Linked DNA regions of Arabidopsis thaliana. The protein of the gene in region 1 interacts with the protein of each later gene in a pairwise test. Each region holds a gene or a part of one and is shown on either strand. Other genes may lie near its edges.

Region 1 (3,842 bases):
TGGTTTGAGAATGTTAGTATCTTTGTTTTGGATATTGGAACAGTTTTGATGACTCTTCTTTCTTCTCCATTAAAAAAATGTTGCTTTAGTTTATTCACCATGCAAAAGGAAACTAAAACCTTGTCGAATTGAACCCATTAGCTCCACCATCAATGATGAAACCTTGTCAAGTCTTCTTATCAGCAACTGCAACATCCTTACGCCTTGTTTTGCTTCATCAGTGTGCCTTTGAATCTTTCGTAGTCTTGGATAAAACCAGCTCCTTCCTTGCAACTCCCTAGCCTCCTTCCTTGAGGAGTTAGGTAATAAACATCGGCTTTATAACAATTTCTCTTAGAATCAGGTCCTGTTGAATACTTTTCTAGTCTATGAACCTCCACTTGTAGCACTTTGTACATTGTACTGCATGTATCGATTAACCTCAGTTGATACCTCGTATTGGTTGGAGTGAAGGGGTGTCCATATCCTTTGGGTTCGGTTCATTAAACAGACTGATACTTGACAAATTATAACTACAAGTCTATAATGGTAAACACTTGGACTTGATATTCAATATAAAATCAAACTGAAAATCAAAAACTTATGAGGTTTATACTGATACAACATCGAAAATCACTTCATGAAAAACATTGAAACCAAAAATTTCCGAATTCTTTGGACAATCTCTGGCACATAACTCAGGTTAAACCACATCTAAGTAGAAAAGACTTTGGTTTAGGTGGTAAGCTCCATGATGGCAGAGACAATATCTCCATCTGCAGCCTTGAGAGCCTTCACAGCATTTGGCCTAGACACTCCTGCTTGAGTCATCACCAACTCAATGTCCTTTGGCTCAACACCTTCCTCGTCAACCTCCTCATCATCCTGAACCACTGCAGCGCTCGATGACTCACCCTTTGAGATCACATTGCTGAGATCTGGTGCCTTGAATTGCTCTGCTGCTTGCGACTGGATCTGAGAGCTCAAATCCTCGATCTTCGCCTCTCCAAAGATCACATATGTGTCTGATGCTGGACTCTTGAACACATCAGGCTTTGATATGACAAACAAGATCTGTGTTCCAAAGCAAATGTCCCCAAAACAGATCAATATTAAAGCCTGATGTGTGAATAAAAGAAATTAAGATTGACTGAATATTAAAGAGAAAACACAAACATTCTTGCTCTTTTTGACGGTGACTCGGCTAACACCAGTGATGGGTTTCATGCCAAGCTTGAGCATGGCTTTGCGACTCTTCTTCTCACTTCTGCTTTGTTTTGACTTACCTCCTGCCTCTCCATCTAGTCCTGTTTTCCAATCACCAATCAACAAGAATAAAATAGATGATAACATTAAGTTCCACAAACATGTCTATCAACACAAGTCAACGCAAAGATTATTTGAAAACAAAGAAGATGGATTCATTTTCACTAAATTTTCAAGCTATGGCCATATAATTATCATTGCTACATATCTACACATACACGTGAGCATCAACAAATCTGCCCCAGATGTAAGCTAACAGAAATACTAGGAACTATACTAATTATTCCAGTAATTTGATGAATGAAATGTAGAAAGCTTTTACCATCAGCCTCGTCATCATCCTTATCATCGTCATCAGAGTCATCGTCTTCGTTATCATCATCGTCCTCAACTTCGGGCTTATCGAGCTACAACAAATCATCAATAATTGAACTAATTGGGAAAATGAGAGAATCCACAAAGGTTAATTACATGTAAATTCAGATCTAAAGTCTTATAATAAGGTCCAATATTTGCATATACAAAACAAAACAAAAGCAAAGATCTGGGCAGGAACAGATTAAAAAACTCTGAATTCAGTCTAATGATTTCCAGACTAAAAGACAAATAACAACAAATAAACAGAGATGATAGATAGGTAAAGAATAAAAGAGTAATCAATTACATCGATCTTCTGTTCTTCCAATTTGGCGGCGAGGATCTCTTTCTCTTCGGTAGTCATAATGAGAGTGTATATTGAAAGTGTGAAGTGTGTGAAAGAGAGAGAGATTCGTGATTCGTGCGGAAACTCTAAAACCCTAGAATAATTGTTAGGTTGGAGAAGACCGAGTGTTAATTATTGCAAGGAAAATCAAAAGGCCCAAAACTTTTATATAAAATCGCAATATTACACATTGTCCGTTGGGCTTATCAGCTGGAAAAAATTGGTCGGAATATTTCAGTTAAAGAAAAGCAGCAAAAAAGACAACCTATGTCGGAATACGAAAACGCCGTCTGTGGGGATCGAACCCACGGCCACGTGGTTAAAAGCCACGCGCTCTACCACTGAGCTAAGACGGCTTACGTTTATGTCAACGACATTAAACTATTTATTCAATTATCAAGTCTTTTTTAAGTCAGAGGGTTTTGGGCCTAATAATGTTTTTCCACGTCACGGAGCTCCATTTGTGTCTTCTTCTTTCTTTCACCGGAGAACTAGGTGGCCGAATTTACTTATTACAAAATCAGTCGATGACTGACGACGGCGACTAAATCAACACCGCAGTAGGAAGAGAAAGCCATGGCGTTCGTTTCGAGGATACGTAGGCAGAGTGATTACAATACATATCCATCTTCGATTCCCATTGTTATCGATAATGGCGCTTCCTACTTCCGTATCGGGTACTTTTATTCCATAAACCCTAATTTCCTTCTTATCGCTAACTCACTTTTACTTGAGGTTTTTGGTATTTAGTAATTCTCTTCCCCAATTCGTAAAAATCGTGTTAAATTTTGAAATTCTCTTGCGTTTTTTTAGGTGGGCAGGAGAAACTGAGCCTCGTGTTGTTTTCCGCAATATCGTGCAAAGACCACGCCACAAAGCTACAGGTCTTTATTTTTTTCTCTATTTTCCCGCTTCTATGTATGTGTCTTAATTGCTTGTTTCGCTGCTAGAGTAACAAATTTAGCCAATGATATGTTTCAAAGTACTAGAGCAGAGTTGCTTGAAGTTTTGGCTACGATTTCTAGATATATATAACTATGCTTTATCCTATTTTGCTTAAAAGTTGCTCTGCTTCTAAATTATCTTCTAGGTGTGTTTGTAATGTTGTTGTAATGGTTAGTTCTTCTCTCTAGTACAGGTGAAACTGTTACTATTGTTGGCGACCTGGATCCTTCCATGATGAAGTACTTTGATTGCACTCGCTCTGGACCACGTTCCCCTTTTGACAGCAATGTGGTTTATCAGTTTGAGATCATGGAATATGTATGGATTCTATACCCGTTTATTCAATAACGAATTGTATTGTATATTTGTAAGGTCTTCTGTTCCAGGAATTTCTTGCTCTCATCATTTCTTTGTATTCCAAGTTCTTTGATGTTTATGCTAATTAAATAATGCAATCACTGAAGAACCCACTTGTCTAATTGATTTTTCTGCTTTTTAGATTCTTGACTACGCCTTTGATCGTTTGGGTGCTAATGGATCAGGGGTACGTCCTAGAACTTTTTTGTTTTCATCTTGATTTTGAGTTTCATCTTACTACCTGTCAGAATTTTGTCTCGTCATTTAACGTCATTTGATGGCAGTACAGATTGATCATCCAATCCTAATCACTGAATGTGCATGCAACCCAGTTCAATCTCGTAGCAAAATGGCAGAACTGCTATTTGAGACTTATGGAGTGCCTGCAGTTGGTATGAATCTGCGTTATTTTTTTGGTTTCTGAATTTGATCGTCTTCTTGAACTGAATGTTTGATACTGTAATTATGGAACCTTTTGTTTATTGTTTTCATTAATTCATTAACTCTCATGTCGTCACAGCATTTGGAGTCGATGCTGCTTTCAGCTACAAATACAATCAACTACATGGAATTTGTAAAAAAGATGGAATTG
Region 2 (16,710 bases), on another chromosome or scaffold:
CTAAACCACTATGGGAAGATTTTCTAATTGGTCACTTTCTCAATGCAAAGGCCCCACACGTTGGGAAAATTCACATGATCGTTAATAAAATTTGGAGATTGGGGGACAAGTCAAATCTGATTGATGTTTATGCCGTCAATGACTCGACGATAAAGTTTCGTATCCGAAACGAAGCCATGCGACGAAGAGCTTTAAACAGAGGCATGTGGAATATCATGGATTTGCCAATGGTGGTGTCAAAGTGGTCTCCTTTTGCGGAAGAAACTCAGCCAGCTATGAAGTCAATTCAGCTCTGGATCACTTTAACGGATGTTCCTCCATCACTATTCACTGATAAAGGTCTTGAGTTTTTGGCTAGTGCAGTGGGTAAGCCAATTCGATTGCACCCCAAGACTGAATCTTGTTCGAGTTTCGATGAAGCTCAGTTGCTGGTGGAAGCGGACCTAACGAAAGAGTTACCTAAGGAGTTTGTGTTTACCGGCGAGGAGGAGGGAGAACTAGCTGCAGTGATAAAATACTCCTACCCTTGGTTACCACCAAGATGTAGTTGTTGTGATAAATGGGGTCACCTCCGTGACTCTTGTCTCTCTGCCTTAAAAACCTGCTCTCGAGACACGCCAAATCCAGACCCAATTCATGTTGAAGAAACAGAGACGGGTCAGGTCTTGTCTAATTCTCAGACTGCAGCCTCTGTGACTGCAGAATGTGTGACAGAGAATATACCAATCATACCAATCTCTGAAGATGGTAAGGAAGAAGAGAAAGGAGCTGAGTCATGGATTACCCCTAAATTTGGTCGTAGTCCACCGAAAAAGCAAGAAGGTTTACAATTTGGGGAGGTCTCTATTCTATCAAATAGTTACTCTGCTCTGAATGGTAAGGATGAAAGTGGAGAGGACATCATAACAGCGGATAGTGTTGAGAAACAAGCGGAGGAAACACAAAACTCAACTCAAGACCCGCCTCAGGAAAAGGTAGAAAATCAGAATCGACTAGCAAAGAAGGAGATGATTTTGCGTCATTCTTTGCCTAGGGGATCAAAGTCAGCACATAAAGTATTATCAAACCCTTCTACTAGGAATAATCCTAAAGATCAGAGTAAAGGGCTCCCTCCAAAACATCATTAATGTCGGGTTTCTTTTGGAATGTTCGCGGCCTCAACAAATCAAATAAACATTCCGTAATTCAGAAATGGGTGGACGAGCAGAATTTTCAGTTTGGTTGTCTCATTGAGACGAGAGTTAAGGAGGAAAATTCACAGTGGTTGGGTTCTAAGTTGTTCAAGGATTGGTCCATGCTAACTAACTATGAGTTTAATAGAAGAGGTCGTCTTTGGGTAGTGTGGAGGGAGAATGTAAGGTTTACTCCGTTTTACAAGAGTGACCAGTTGATAACTTGTTCGGTGAAACTAGAAAGCCAAGAAGAAGAATTTTTCTACTCTTTTGTATATGCTTCAAACTTTGCAGAGGAACGAAAGATTTTGTGGAATGATCTTCGAGACCATATGGACTCTCCGATCATTCGTGATAAACCATGGATAATTTTTGGAGATTTTAATGAGATTTTGGATATGGATGAGCACTCTCGAATGGAAGATCACCCAGCAGTTACCTCCGGTATGCGAGATTTTCAGTCTTTGGTGAACTACTGCTCATTCTCAGACTTGGCATCTCACGGGCCCCTTTTTACTTGGTGCAATAAGAGAGATAATGACCCAATTTGGAAAAAACTGGATAGAGTTATGGTGAATGAGGCTTGGAAGATGGTCTACCCACAATCTTATAATGTTTTTGAAGCGGGAGGGTGTTCTGACCATTTACGGTGTCGTATCAATTTAAATATGAACTCTGGTGCACAAGTGAGAGGAAATAAGCCTTTTAAGTTTGTGAATGCTGTGGCCGATATGGAGGAGTTTAAACCTTTGGTGGAAAATTTTTGGAGAGAAACAGAGCCTATACACATGTCCACGTCGTCCCTGTTCCGGTTCACTAAGAAGCTCAAGGCTCTTAAACCAAAACTTCGAGGCTTGGCGAAGGAAAAAATGGGAAATTTGGTGAAAAGGACGAGAGAAGCCTATCTCAGTCTTTGTCAGGCGCAACAGAGTAATTCACAAAATCCATCTCAAAGAGCCATGGAAATAGAATCGGAAGCTTATGTTCGTTGGGACAGGATAGCTAGCATTGAAGAGAAGTATCTTAAGCAGGTATCAAAGCTTCATTGGTTAAAGGTTGGGGATAAAAACAACAAAACTTTCCATCGCGCAGCAACCGCTAGAGCAGCTCAAAACTCTATTCGCGAAATTCAGAAGGAAGATGGTAGTACTGCCACAACTAAAGATGATATCAAGAACGAGACTGAAAGGTTTTTTCAAGAATTTCTTCAGCTAATCCCGAATGATTATGAGGGAATAACAGTGGAGAAATTAACATCTCTATTGCCTTATCATTGTTCCCCAGCGGAAAAGGATATGCTCACTGCATCAGTTTCAGCAAAAGAGATAAGGGGAGCCTTATTCTCAATGCCAAATGATAAATCTCCGGGTCCAGACGGTTACACTTCTGAATTCTACAAGCGGGCATGGGATATAATTGGTGCGGAATTTGTTTTGGCAGTCAAATCGTTTTTTGAAAAGGGTTTTCTACCAAAGGGTGTTAATACTACCATTCTAGCTCTCATCCCAAAGAAACTGGAGGCGAAAGAAATGAAAGACTATCGACCGATATCGTGCTGCAACGTCATTTACAAAGTCATCTCAAAAATCATTGCAAATAGATTGAAACATGTTCTCCCGAATTTCATCGCGGGAAACCAATCTGCATTTGTAAAAGACCGGCTCCTAATTGAGAATCTGCTATTAGCCACAGAGTTAGTAAAGGACTATCACAAGGACACAATTTCGGGTCGATGTGCTATTAAAATCGACATTTCAAAGGCTTTTGATTCTGTTCAGTGGTCATTTCTTAAAAACGTTTTGTCGGCTTTGGACTTTCCACCGGAGTTTGTTCATTGGGTTATGCTTTGTGTTACTACGGCTTCTTTTTCGGTGCAAGTCAATGGAGAATTGGCAGGCTATTTTCAAAGTTCAAGAGGTCTACGTCAGGGTTGCTCTCTTTCCCCTTATCTATTTGTTATAAGCATGGATGTTCTATCAAAAATGCTTGATCAAGCAACAGAAGCAAAGCAAATTGGCTACCACCCGCGGTGTAAAAGTATTGGTCTGTCCCACTTGAGCTTTGCTGATGATCTCATGATCCTTTCGGACGGAAAAGTTTGATCTATAGAGGGTATTGTGAAAGTTTTTGACGTTTTTGCTAAAAGTTCAGGTTTAAAAATTAGTATGGAGAAGACAACCATATATCTAGCGGGAACTTCAGAAGTGTCTCACCAATGGATCAAAGACCGGTTCAGTTTTGATGTAGGGACTCTACCGGTGAGGTATTTGGGACTCCCTCTAGTAACCAAATGCCTAACCGCTGCAGATTACTTACCTCTCATAGAACAGCTTAAAAAGAAGATTGGGTCATGGACAGCTAGATTTCTTTCTTACGCCGGTCGCTTAAACTTGATAAGCTCGGTCCTATGGAGCATTTGTAACTTTTGGCTTGCTGCGTTCCGGCTCCCGCGAAAATGTATCAGAGAAATCGATAAGTTATGTTCTACTTTCCTCTGGTCTGGTCCGGATTTAAATTCTCACAAAGCTAAGGTAGCTTGGGACGATGTTTGTAAGCCGAAGAAAGAAGGTGGACTCGGTTTAAGGTCTATAAAGGAGGCGAATGATGTGAGTTGTTTAAAGCTGATATGGAGGATACTCTCTCGAGGAGATTCTTTGTGGGTAAAATGGGTTGAGACTTATCTTTTAAACACGGAAAGTTTTTGGTCTATCAAAGAATCGACAAGCAAAGGTTCATGGATGTGGTGAAAACTTATCAAGTTCAAGGATATGGCGAAGCAGTTTTGCAAAAAAGAAGTAAACACTGGCCGCAACACTTTTTTCTGGTATGATGACTGGTCTACCTTGGGCAGGCTGGTTGAAATTGCTGGAGATAGAGGGACAATAGATATGGGGATCAGTAGAAAGATGACTCTTGAGGAGGCATGGAATGGTAGACGTCAAAGACGACACAGGGATAATGTTCTCAATCAGATGGAGGAGGCTCTTGAACTCACACGACAACGTAGAAATGGAAATGATGACGTTACTCTTTGGAAAGGCAAAAATGATGACTACCGCCATTGTTTCTCGACGAAGGAAACGTGGAACAATACCAGAACAATGGGCATCGAGGTCCCTTGGCACAAGGGGGTCTGGTTCACTCACTCAACACCGAAGTTTTCTTTTTGTGTTTGGCTTGCAGTTTATGATAGGCTCTCCACAGGAGATAAAATGCTTCTTTGGAACAGAGGTTTGCAGGGGACATGTCTTCTCTGCAGAAATGCAACTGAATCAAGAGATCATTTATTTTTCTCTTGCAGCTTTAGCTCAGAAGTTTGGGAAATGTCAGCAAAAAGCATCTACAAGTCAAGCTACTCTACGGATTGGCGACACCTACTCACAAAGATTCAAGAAAACTGGAAAGATCGAGTAGAAAGTTTTATCGCACGGTATATCTTTCAAGTTTCAGTCTATGCAATATGGCGTGAGCGCAATAGGAGGAAGCATGGGCGCAACCCGAATCAAGCAGCTCAACTTGTTCGATGGATAGATAAGCAAATACGTGATCAACTTTCAGCAATCAAACTTATGGGTGATAGAAGATATGACCAAGGCTTTCAGTTTTGGTTAAAATCTAGTAGTTAACTTGTAAAGTTTAGCTCTACGCTTAGTCTCTTAAACACCATGATGCACTCGTTGTACAACCGACATTTTTTCTTTTGAGTATAATTTAACATTTTATTAAAAAAAAGAAAAAAAATTACAAGCACCAAAACCGTCTCTCCATGCAATAATCTCTTTGTTTGTTAAATTTGAAAGATTCTTAAACGTAAAATCTTTTAAATGGGCCTGTTAATCAAGTACTCAAGCCCATTATTGTGATTTTATTACAAGTTGGTAGTAATACTTCACTGACGTTCAAAAGTAGACCCATATTAGATTAGTCTCCTATCTATAAAGGGAGTCGTCGAGCCCATTGTGACGAGATATTTCTTTTGTTCAGTCCATGACTATTGTTTTATCTCTCGAGTCGATTATTAGATTAGTCTCGTGTCCTAAACTCCTAATCATTTTTGATTAGTGTGAATAAATAAATTTTAAGAACAACAAGTTACCCAATCATTTGAAAAAATGATACTATAATTCGCTAAACTTTTTTATAAAAGAAAAATTAAGAGCAATTGGGAACGAGAACGTGTTGAATAGTTGGGGACGAGATTACAAGCACCAATTCATCTTCAGCATCATCTCCAAATTCTTCTTAAAATTTTCTTCTTCCTCCTTTACCATCTCCAGCACCGGACCTAGTCAAAAAGTCTTTCTTCTCAAATGGATCAAAAGCCTCTTGGATTGCTCACGATCCACGTCAAGAGAGGGATTAATCTCGCCATTCGCGACCATCGTAGCAGCGATCCTTACATCGTTCTCAACGTCGCCGATCAGGTTCCATTTCTCCTTGAAATCGATAGAGAACAAATTGCCTTATATGAATCAAGTCTCCGAATAACGATTCTTCTCTGTTCCTGAATTGTTCATATAGATTCAGGATTTGGGTTTTCTTCAAATCCTCTGTTTTATCTCCTCTGCTTTGGTTTTTTTTATCAAATCCTCTGTTTTTATTTCCTCTGCTTTGGGTTTTCTTCAAATCCTCTGTTTTATTTCCTCTGCTTTGGGTTTTCTTCAAATCCTCTGTTTTGTTTTGTCTAATACAAAACCAAAAATGAAATCTTTCAGACATTGAAGACACGTGTGGTGAAAAAAAATTGTAACCCAGTATGGAATGAAGAAATGACTGTTGCTATCAAAGATCCTAATGTCCCAATCCGCTTGGTAAACTTAAAAAGATTCTCTCTTTTGATTCAGACAAAAGACAAATCTTGTTTTGTTCTGTTCTTGGGGATAACATTGTTGTTTTTTTGTTGAAATCGTTCAGACAGTGTTTGATTGGGACAAGTTCACAGGAGATGACAAAATGGGAGATGCGAACATAGACATTCAACCATACTTAGAGGCTTTGAAAATGGGGATGGAGCTTTTGAGGCTACCTAATGGGTGTGCTATCAAAAGGGTTCAACCATCAAGGCACAATTGTTTATCTGATGAGAGTAGCATTGTTTGGAACAATGGTAAGATCACACAAGACTTGATCCTTAGACTTAACAATGTCGAATGTGGCGAGATTGAGATCATGCTTGAATGGCATGAAGGTGCTGGTTGCAGAGGTATCACTTCCTCTTCCAAAGGTGGAGGCTCTTCCTCTACCTAAACTTATTATTGTTCTTTCTTTCTTTCTTTTTTTGTTGTTGTGTATCAATCTGTTGTTGTTGTTTCCATATGTATAAGCAACTCAAGTATGTTTTCTTGATGACCATTTTCAATGGCATAATCAAGAAGAAAAGCTGGAAAATTTGAGACTTTCTTTTGTATGTTTTCATTTGAATATCTTTTTGATTTCTCACTTTCTGTTTTGATTTTGTTTTGTCTTTTGCAATTTGCATTCTCTTCTATGACGTAGGCGTAGGCATGACCACGGTGTTTATTAACCATCGGTTAAGATTACAGTTGAATACAGTTATGGTTACAACGATTACGGTTAAATATGCTTTATGGTTATTTAATAACTACAATATATTTAAGAACTAGATAAGGCCCGCCTATTTAGGCGGGTGTACCCAAAATTTTCAAATACTCGAACGGGTCTAAACTTCAAAACCCGAAAAACTTGAACCCGAACCCGAATAGGTATTCAAACATATCTCAAATATAAGTATATATTAGTTATATTTATACTTATATATAGAAAATATTAGGATGTTTTTGATATTTTAGTTATTTTGTGTATTTTTAGATATATTCAAGCAAAACTACTCGTGTTGTTTTGGGAATTTTTGAAATTTTCAAGTAATTTAATAGATTTGCACACAAAATTTGATATTTCAATATATAAATAAACTCGAACCCGAACCCGACCTAAAATCTTAAATTACCTTAACGGGTCCTAAACTTCTAAACCCAAAAATCCAAACCCGAAATACCCGATCCGAATACCCAAACGCTTAGGGCTAATAATTAATAATAAAAAAAGAAATCCACAAAAATATTTAGAAACCAAACATTGTTGAAAATATATTTTGTATATATGTCGTAATCTTGTAAGTTAATTTTACATCATGCAAATTAATATTAAATGAGTTAAAATTAATAAATAAAAATAAATGAAAAGTTAAATCCTATAAGCTAAGCTATTTTTCTCAAAATGTTTTATTTTTCACTTATGATTACATGAGTTAAAGACAAATTTGTTAATTTTCTTTTTGTTGAATAAATGTAAATTGTTTATAAATATATAGACATATAAATTAGTATATGTAAATTTGTTTACTTTTTAAGATTTTCTATTTTTTTAGAGAATAAAAAAGTAAAATTTGGAATGACACATGTAAACATCTGATCGTTTTATTTTTCACTTATGATTACATGAGTTAAAGACAAATTTGTTAATTTTCCTTTTGTTGAATAAATGTAAATTGTTTATAAATATATAGACATATAAATTAGTATATGTAAATTTGTTTACTTTTTAAGATTTTTTATTTTTTTAGAGAATAAAAAAGTAAAATTTGGAATGACACATATAAACATCTGATTGTTTGACTTGACACGTGGCAAAATTCTATGAATTAGCAACTTTGAAAACCATACTTTATATAATAAGATAGACGCAAAACTTTACGTATCATCGAGCTTTTTTTATTGCTTTTAATAAGATAAAAATATGTTATAATTTTTTCATATGCAATATTATTTACTCTTTTTTGAAAACGGTTCGGGTACTCTCTGAAATACGGTTACGACTAAATTTTGGGTATGACTGACGTTTAAATTTTTTGTCACTTAGTGAACTATTTTATCCTTTCTATTGTGAATGATTTGTAATTTTGTAGTTATTTCGATATATGTATAAGCAATTAAGTGTGTTTTCTTGATGACCATTTCAATGGCATGATCAAGAAAAACATTTGGATAATTTGAGATATCTGCTTAGCCCAGGCCCATTGTAACATCTGTATACTCAAACCATAATTTATTTAAAAATGATTTTGTACTACGCAAATGAAAGATTCAAACACCCATACAAGTACACACACAAAGGGAGATGTATGATGATGATGATGATGATGATGATAGGTGATGACGATGGTTCGAAAGGGATTTAGGCTTTGAGAACATGCTCGTCCATGTCAGCAACAACGCTTTTGAGGAACTTCATGTAGTTGCTAGGCTCAGGCGAATCATCGGTTCGCTTCTCCCAAATCATTGTGATCTTGCATACGATATCATCGGGAGACTTTTGGCTGAACTGATATATGAGATCATACACTTTAAGCTGCTCCATGACGTGACCTTCTAGTCCTCTGAACGTTATCACCATATTCTCATCGTCTATCTCTTTCCTTTCCTTGAACACTTCCGGTTTCCCATCTGCACATATATGCGTACATATTTGTTTCATTCATTAAGTTAGCACCATTCTTTGGATTCCATATAAATGTATTTTTACCGCATGTATAGTTCCAAATCTTGATGGCTTCATGAGAGTCCCATTCACCGTCGTGGACAGTGACACCTTGGATGTGGTGGCCGATGGCATCGGGGAAGAGGTGGTTCTCATCTCTCCACCGCTTGTAGTGTTTATCCGCCGATCCTTTCAATGGAACCTCCGTCACATATGTTCCCGATGTCGCCATCTCTTTGGGTAGTGAAAGAAATATGTTGTGTGTGTGCGCTTCTTACTTTGGTTGATGACTATTTTCACGTGTGATCTTCCTTCGTTTATATATAGAGTGTGTAACGGTTTAGACGTAAAATAGATGAGCCGGGTTTTATACTTATTTGATATCTACTGCTAATATATTTAGAATGAGTCATATTTCACGTTGTCCAAGTTCTTATCATACAATGTATTTTGTTTGTTATTAAGATAAGGATAGGTTTGACAAAATGCATATAATGGTTTTACCAACAAAAAAAGAAGCATATAATGAATCAATGATAAGGATTAGAGTAGACAAATGCATACATCAATTTTAATTTAAACCTTAAACAAACCATAATTATTGTTTGTTGATATGATGTATTGTTCCTTGAATGCCGAAAAGTCCACCAGATAACGATACCGTAGATTTCCTGCCAGCTGTGACTTTCATTGATATTTTTAAAACAATATCTTCTATTTTGTTCATTTTTTCTAAAACAATATCTTCTATTTTTGTTCATTTTTTAAACCAATCATCAAATAACACATATAAACATCTTAACTTAAGAAAAACATCTTAACTTAAGAAAAACATCTAAAGAAAAATACACTTCTTAGCTTTGGATTGTTGGTTTGCTTTATTTTAATTGCTTTTAATCCTAAGATTTTGCTAAGATACACTATTGAGGGTGCTCTTATATGTTATACACATTTTCTTGATAAAAAAGATTCTATATAGACCTCTAAAATTGGCTGGCAGTTCACGAGTGCCCACAGTGACAATGTAGAAGCCTTTTTCTACAAGCTCACAATGGTTATGATCTTCCCTGAGACTCAAGATAGCTACAGTTGGAAGGATGAAGTAGCTAGACCCCCAAAAAGACCGCTTCAAACATTGCAATTACCTGGCGCCAAATCACTCCCTTCTTACTTCTTAGCGAAAGTATACATGGCATAGACAAGTCTTTTTCTGAGGTGTTGTCCTTAATCAATCCATCACTATGTGGCTAGGTTGAAAGTGCTGGTTCTAGAGATATCACTTCATCTTCTAGAGGAGGCTCTTCATCTATTTAACAAAATAGAGTCGCTTTTTGTGTGTATGGGTGTGTTGTTGTTTCATTTATGTATCTAGTTTAAATGAGATAATATTATTTCTAAACTTTTTTCTTTTGTCAACCGATATTAGTTAGAACTCAAATTAAAGATCCATTCCCGAAGAATGTTGTTTGCATATGTGATATGATGTGATTTGGTATAGAACTTTTCGTGCCAAATTATCCGCTTTAACATTTGTACTAAAATTTAAAGATAAAAGAAAACTTTTAAATTCTTCATTGTCGTTTTTCAAATCCTCCAAATACACTGAGAAGGCTGGTCATTCGGTTAGGAAAGACACCATCTTCACCTGATCTGAATAGTCTATTAGAAAAGCTACGTCTTGATTGTTAGCGCCAATCATACACCTCATCATCAGAGAAGCGCTTCCACTTCTGCATGTAGTGAGGATAGACTTCTTAAAGATTTGCAGTTCTCATGGTTGACGTCTCTCCATTTGATGATGTATAGTACCATTCTGCTCCAAACAATTTGTCGCTTTATTTCCATGATCCATCCATGTAATATCAATATCCTGAATAATTAATATCGTTTGAGATATTCGAGTTTCCAAATTTAAAGAATCACTAGATCCTGACCCGCACATACGTGCGGGTTTCAAAAGGTTGTAAATTTTCCGATGATTCCCAATTAATAGTATAGATAGTTTTTAGTATAAAGTTTGAGTTAAGCTAACTGTCACGATTGTAATTTTTCTACATTTAGTATTTATTAAACTGATACTTTCATATTTCATATAATATTCCAAATATCTTTAAAAGTCTTATCTGGTACTTTGCTCTAATAATGTCTCTAGTTATAATTTTGATCATCTCTTAGCATACGTACGTACACATAATCATTTTTTTTGTCAAGCACAGCATAAACATTATTTATTTACAAAGATATATAGAATCATATAAACTCAAAATTTATATGTTAGATTAATAGATATTTACTGATACTTGCGATTGTGCTGTATACCATACATAATTCACGTTTTCCAAGTTCTTATCATACAACACAATTCTAATTAGTAGGTTTGACAAAATCCATATACATGACCATTGTCCTCGTCATTCATATATCAACCCATTAAAAACAATAGCCTTAAAACAAATCGTAATGATTTTTTACATCATTGAACCAACAAGACCCCCATCCCACATAGACCCCTCATCTTTGCTAAATGCTGGTTTCATTATATGCTTTCTTTACTAGAGTTTCGAAGGAAATATTTTTGTATTTTTATTGTCTTCCTTGCTTGTATCGTTTAAATGTTGTCCAATTTCGGAGGACATGAGTAATAATATATACTCATAGAAATGATAAATGTTACAACCACTATATGAACTTATAAAGTCAGCATTAATTACTATACACTAAATGAACATACAAAGACAGCAACAGCAACTAAATATACTATACAACCACTATAAATATAATGAATACTGTGTATGAATAATAACCATAATTGAACGTACAAAATGATGAATAATACAACCACAAATGCTGTATACAATGTGAGCTTGTGGAAGCTGATACATACGTAGTGCAACACTTTAAAAAAGGGCAGTATTGATTGATAACTCTTGAAAATCATTAATTAACAAGGATACATGCGTAGATGAGCATACATGAAACCTCAACCATAATAAACAACATCAAAGCATATTATAGTAGATGAAACCATACATGTAAACCCCCATTTATTATATTGAAAACACCATAAAAACGATACACACACACACACACAAAAGGAGCAATGTACGTATGAGGGTGATGATGATCATGATATTAGGTGATGATGGGTTGATGTGAAAGGGATATTTAGGCTTTGAGAACGTGATCATCCATGTCAGCAGCGAGGCTCTTGACGAACTTCATGTAGTTGCTGGGCTCAGGCATGTCATCGTTTTGCTTCTCCCAGATCATAGTGATCTTACAGATGATATCATCAGGTGACTTTTGAATGAACTGAAAGATGACGTCATACACTTTAAGCTGCTCCATCACGTGACCTTCGAGTCCTCTGAACGTTACCGCCATATTCTCATCGTCTATCTCTCTCCTCTCCTTGAACACCTCCGGTTTCCCATCTTTTCATATATGTGTTCCATTTATAAGTTAGCAACATGCATATATATGTTTTTTTTTTCTGTACTAAAGTGCATATATATGTTGGAACTATATATATAATATATGTAACACTCAACTAAATTTTAAGGTAAAGAGATTATTCCATCACGTGTAGTTGTTACTTGTAATTCCTTTCGAAAAAATCCGCAGATCTACTTTTGGAGAAGCTTTCTGAATAAATTTGTCGGGTTCATAAATTAATAAAGTGAATCAAATTTAGAGAGATATGAGTTTACATATATGCAGTGAAACCTTTTGAAAAATGGATTCTCTGTATTCTTGTGACAAAGTCGTACAACTATATATTCATTTTTATGTGATTAACCTCGAGTATTATTCCAAGCTCTAGTTTTCAGACGTGAGTTATATAACTAAAATAAGTGTATATTTTTACCGCATGTGTAGTTCCAAATCTTGATGGCTCCATGGGAGTCCCATTCACCGTCGTGGATGGTGACACCTTGGATGTGGTGGCCGATGGCGTCGGGGAAGAGGTGGTTCTCACTCCTCCACCGCTTGTAGTGTTTCTCAGCCGATCCTTTCAATGGAACCTCCGTCACATATGTTCCTGACGTCGCCATCTCTCTTCCTTGTGTAGCGAGTGAAGTGTGTTTTTTGTTTGTTTGTTTGTTTCTTTACTTGATGAATACTTTCATTTCTCCTTCGTTTATATAGAGAATATAACGGTTAAAACGTAAAAATAAGTTACATTAGTTACTTTTTCTTACCACGATTCTGTCATCTTGCATTATTACAAAATGTGATTCACGTTTACCAAGTTCGTATCACAAAAAAAAAGATTTGGATTACTATTGATATGATTTATAACTTGAACTCGAAACATTCACTATCAACTACACTTTCACTGAAACGTCGCACAAAAAAAATATTACGTACGTACATGCCTAGGAAATCATAATCAATCCATAGATAATTATAATATATAAACCATAATTTAGTGAGGCCGGTAACAATCACGATCGCCTTTCTACAAAAGAGAAAATAGGTGAACCGATAGAAAACCTGACTGAAAACGATCGTTTTAGAAAGTAAAGCATCTTTCTAAAAGTGTTTTGAAACGATTCTTTATAGGATTGGTCAATAAGTTATTTGGTATAGTACATAACTATTGATTGTGTAAGCCAACCACATCTTAATAATATGGTTAGATTCAAAATAAATGAACCATAGAATTGAGTTTTAAAGCTGATTGGGTGTCGGTAATGTGGTGTTGAAAGGGAGCCGTTTAGTTCATTTTTCATTATGATGGATAAAATCTCAAATATGGTCGGGACCTACGTTATGAGAAGAGGGTGAAAAAACTGAAAATGATGCCTTCAAATTTTATAGAATATATGTTTTTTTCATTGAATAAAATACTTTTTTTTTTGGCAGATTTGGTTGTGTATGACCCGTTCAAGTTTAAGGTTTGCACTTAATTTTGTCTCCATTTTATTGTTTGACTTTGATAAGATTTTTCTTGGTCCCGCCACTAATTCCTTAAACATTGAGAATGCCTCCACCGGAGCAAAGGAATTACTTGACTTAAGAAATTGGTTGGGGAAGTTGTGACTAATTAATGAGGATAATATCTTTAGGTTTAGTCGAACTTATATAAGTGTTTTATCTTTGATCAATCTAGAAGTGTGTGTGAATGTTCTCTTTTTAAAAAAATGAAATTTGTGGATGAATATTTTACTATTTTTGTAATTTTTGATTGGGAGGTTGAGTTTTTTCTACTAACAATCTTTTAATCTTACAAGATTCCGAAATTTCAACAACTTTATATTGGTGTAACTTTTTTGCACTCTTTCATTTCAGTTCTAAGCTTTCTCGAATGTGTGTTTTCGTGATTTGGCTTCGATTCAAATGTCAATCAAAATTGAATCGACGTTTAAACCAAAAACGGAGACAATATATAACCAAATAATAAAAAGAAATTATAGTCCACGGTCGGATATAAAAATAAATGGCAAATAATTCAAGTTTTGGTGATACACTCACATTAATCAAATAAGAGACGAAGATTTATTGGTCGAACGTATTCCATGCTTTTGTTGTCCACATCGGCAGAAAAACAATAAAAGTATATATGTTCTGAGAAAATATCAGACAATGAATTTAATATGTTGATGGGGTTCAACGTCCATGTCTAGGTAGAAAAATCAATAACATGTAGTACTAAATGAAATATGTTTAGGTTCTTCTGATTTACGCATGTAAACATACATTTATACTCACTTTATGCATGTATAAGTCATATGTAGATGATTAATTTACTATAGACTAAGCTACGTTTATATGACCAAATTAGCTAATAATATATACATAGCTGAAGATTATTTACATTTTGCAAAAGTGGAAGAAAAATCACAAAACAAAATAAAAATGGTACAAGAAAAATGATTTTATAATCAAACCAGCAATCAAAGAACATGCCTTTAAGAGGACATTGGACCCACAAATATTCACATATATCAAAATATAGATAAATAACCATAGTGAATAAATGAATATAGGGCTATATTAAAATATAAATTTTAACATACTAATTTTATTACAACACTAATAAGTAATAATACTAAATTTTATTACAACACTAATAAGGTCTCATTGAATTGTTTCATTATTTCACGTCTAGTTCTTTTTTTTTTGTGTAGAAAGTTCCGATCTAGTTCTAGATATGGACAAATAATTAGAGTTGAAATAACATACTTTTATGTTTTTCGGGAGTCAACCAAAGTGATGCACAATGTTGGGAATAATTCTTAACAAATCAATCACATTGTCATACTTGTAATCTTTTATCAAATATATGTAGCTATTATTTGGAGCGTTCAAGTTCTTTACACTGTTTTTTGTCGCTATGTTCTAAGAAATTACGATCTAGCTTTACATTCTACTTTGCATCTCCAATAACTGTTGTAAGGTCAAAAAAGGGGTGAAGAAGCACTTCATTAACGATCAGACAACAAATAAGGAGTATATACATTTTAGCGAATAATCAGCGGAATAAAAATTGAAAAGAGATTGGAGATTATATTACCGAGAATCAGGTGCAGTGGTTTCCTTTTTGCCGTCAAATTGCTCTAGTGGTTGGAGACCCAGACTCCGCTCACCTACAATTTTTACACATGCATTCTTAAAGATTGTTTGAAAACTCAATCACGTGTTGACAATTACGGCATATCATTTAGTTTATCAAATCAATATAAGGTATAAGAAACATAACAACCTCTGGCAAGGTGACTCAAGAATGGTGCATGTTCAATCTTAGCAATGTCCATGTTCAATCTTAGCAATGTCCATGTCATCTATTTTTTCATTTACAGTCTTCCTATCATACATAATCATCACGTTCTCCGGTCTCCAGTCTTGATGGATTATATGTAGTCTATGAAAGTGTTCAAGACCTAAACAATATTTTTGGTTCACAAAAACCGTCCCAAAAAAATAAAAGTATAAAATTAATCGAAGATTATTTACATTTTACAATGAAGCTGCAATTAGATATATAATATACACACAACTGAAAATTATTTACATTTTGCAAAAATGGTCGTAGAACCACAAAACAAAACAAAAGAAATCATTTTTTTGTACCATTATTTTGTGGTTCTACTATTTTTAAGATTCTTTAAGGCATGATATTGGACCTACTATTTTCTTAAGAAATTAATGGAATTTATAAATATATTCATACATATTAAAATATAGATGAATACAAAAATTACAGTAAATAGATGAATATAGGGCTGGATTAAAATATATATTTTAACATACTAATTTTATTGCAACACTAATAATACTTATAAAAAAAAGACATTAATACAGAAATCAAAAATCCAATTAATTAGATAGGTATTAAACCTTTTCCGAACATCCAGTCGGCGTCGAGCTAATTCACGATTTTGGGTCATTGGGTCTTTAGGCCCATAGTTGTTGTAATATATCTAATTTGGGCTTACTTAATTAGGCCTTTTATTGTAGAAATTGGGCTTTGTAAAAATCAGACGAGTATATTACATTTTAAGACACTTGAAAGTAAGGAGGAAGGACGGAAGAGATGCTTGCGAAACAAACGCCATTAACAAAACAAATGCTCTCCGAGCTCTTACGAGCAAGTTCTTCAAAGCCGAAGCAGCTTAAGAAGATCCATGCGATTGTACTAAGGACAGGTTTCTCTGAAAAGAACAGTCTTTTAACTCAGCTGTTAGAGAATCTTGTAGTTATTGGTGACATGTGTTACGCACGCCAGGTGTTCGACGAAATGCACAAGCCGAGGATCTTCCTTTGGAACACTCTTTTCAAAGGGTACGTTAGAAACCAGCTCCCTTTTGAAAGTCTCCTACTTTATAAGAAAATGCGTGATCTTGGTGTCCGTCCTGATGAATTTACTTACCCGTTTGTGGTGAAAGCGATCTCTCAGCTTGGGGATTTTTCCTGTGGGTTTGCTCTTCATGCCCATGTGGTGAAATATGGTTTTGGGTGTCTTGGGATTGTTGCAACTGAGTTGGTAATGATGTACATGAAGTTTGGTGAATTGAGTTCGGCTGAGTTTTTGTTT

The links.
Region 2: the proteins of AT3G12390 (region 1) and MLP329 interact in a two-hybrid assay, tested with the Arabidopsis thaliana proteins (one large-scale study listed by BioGRID).

What each region holds. Positions count from the first base shown.
Region 1 is NC_003074.8:3,940,468-3,944,309, reverse strand, and holds AT3G12390 (Nascent polypeptide-associated complex (NAC), alpha subunit family protein), read right to left. Parts: upstream 2,054-3,842; 5' UTR 1,967-2,053; coding exon 1,910-1,966; intron 1,653-1,909; coding exon 1,568-1,652; intron 1,287-1,567; coding exon 1,156-1,286; intron 1,054-1,155; coding exon 715-1,053; 3' UTR 501-714; downstream 1-500. Other genes in the region: ELC (Ubiquitin-conjugating enzyme/RWD-like protein), read left to right, coding at 90-232; ARP5 (actin-related protein 5), read left to right, coding at 2,525-2,625, 2,762-2,832, 3,069-3,211, 3,393-3,437, 3,540-3,642, 3,771-3,842. UniProt on the Arabidopsis thaliana protein: May promote appropriate targeting of ribosome-nascent polypeptide complexes.
Region 2 is NC_003071.7:232,006-248,715, reverse strand, and holds MLP329 (MLP-like protein 329), read right to left. Parts: upstream 9,048-16,710; 5' UTR 8,902-9,047; coding exon 8,715-8,901; intron 8,636-8,714; coding exon 8,367-8,635; 3' UTR 8,029-8,366; downstream 1-8,028. Other genes in the region: AT2G01540 (Calcium-dependent lipid-binding (CaLB domain) family protein), read left to right, coding at 5,483-5,596, 5,888-5,983, 6,087-6,419; MLP328 (MLP-like protein 328), read right to left, coding at 11,835-12,103, 12,538-12,724; AT2G01510 (Tetratricopeptide repeat (TPR)-like superfamily protein), read left to right, coding at 16,210-16,710.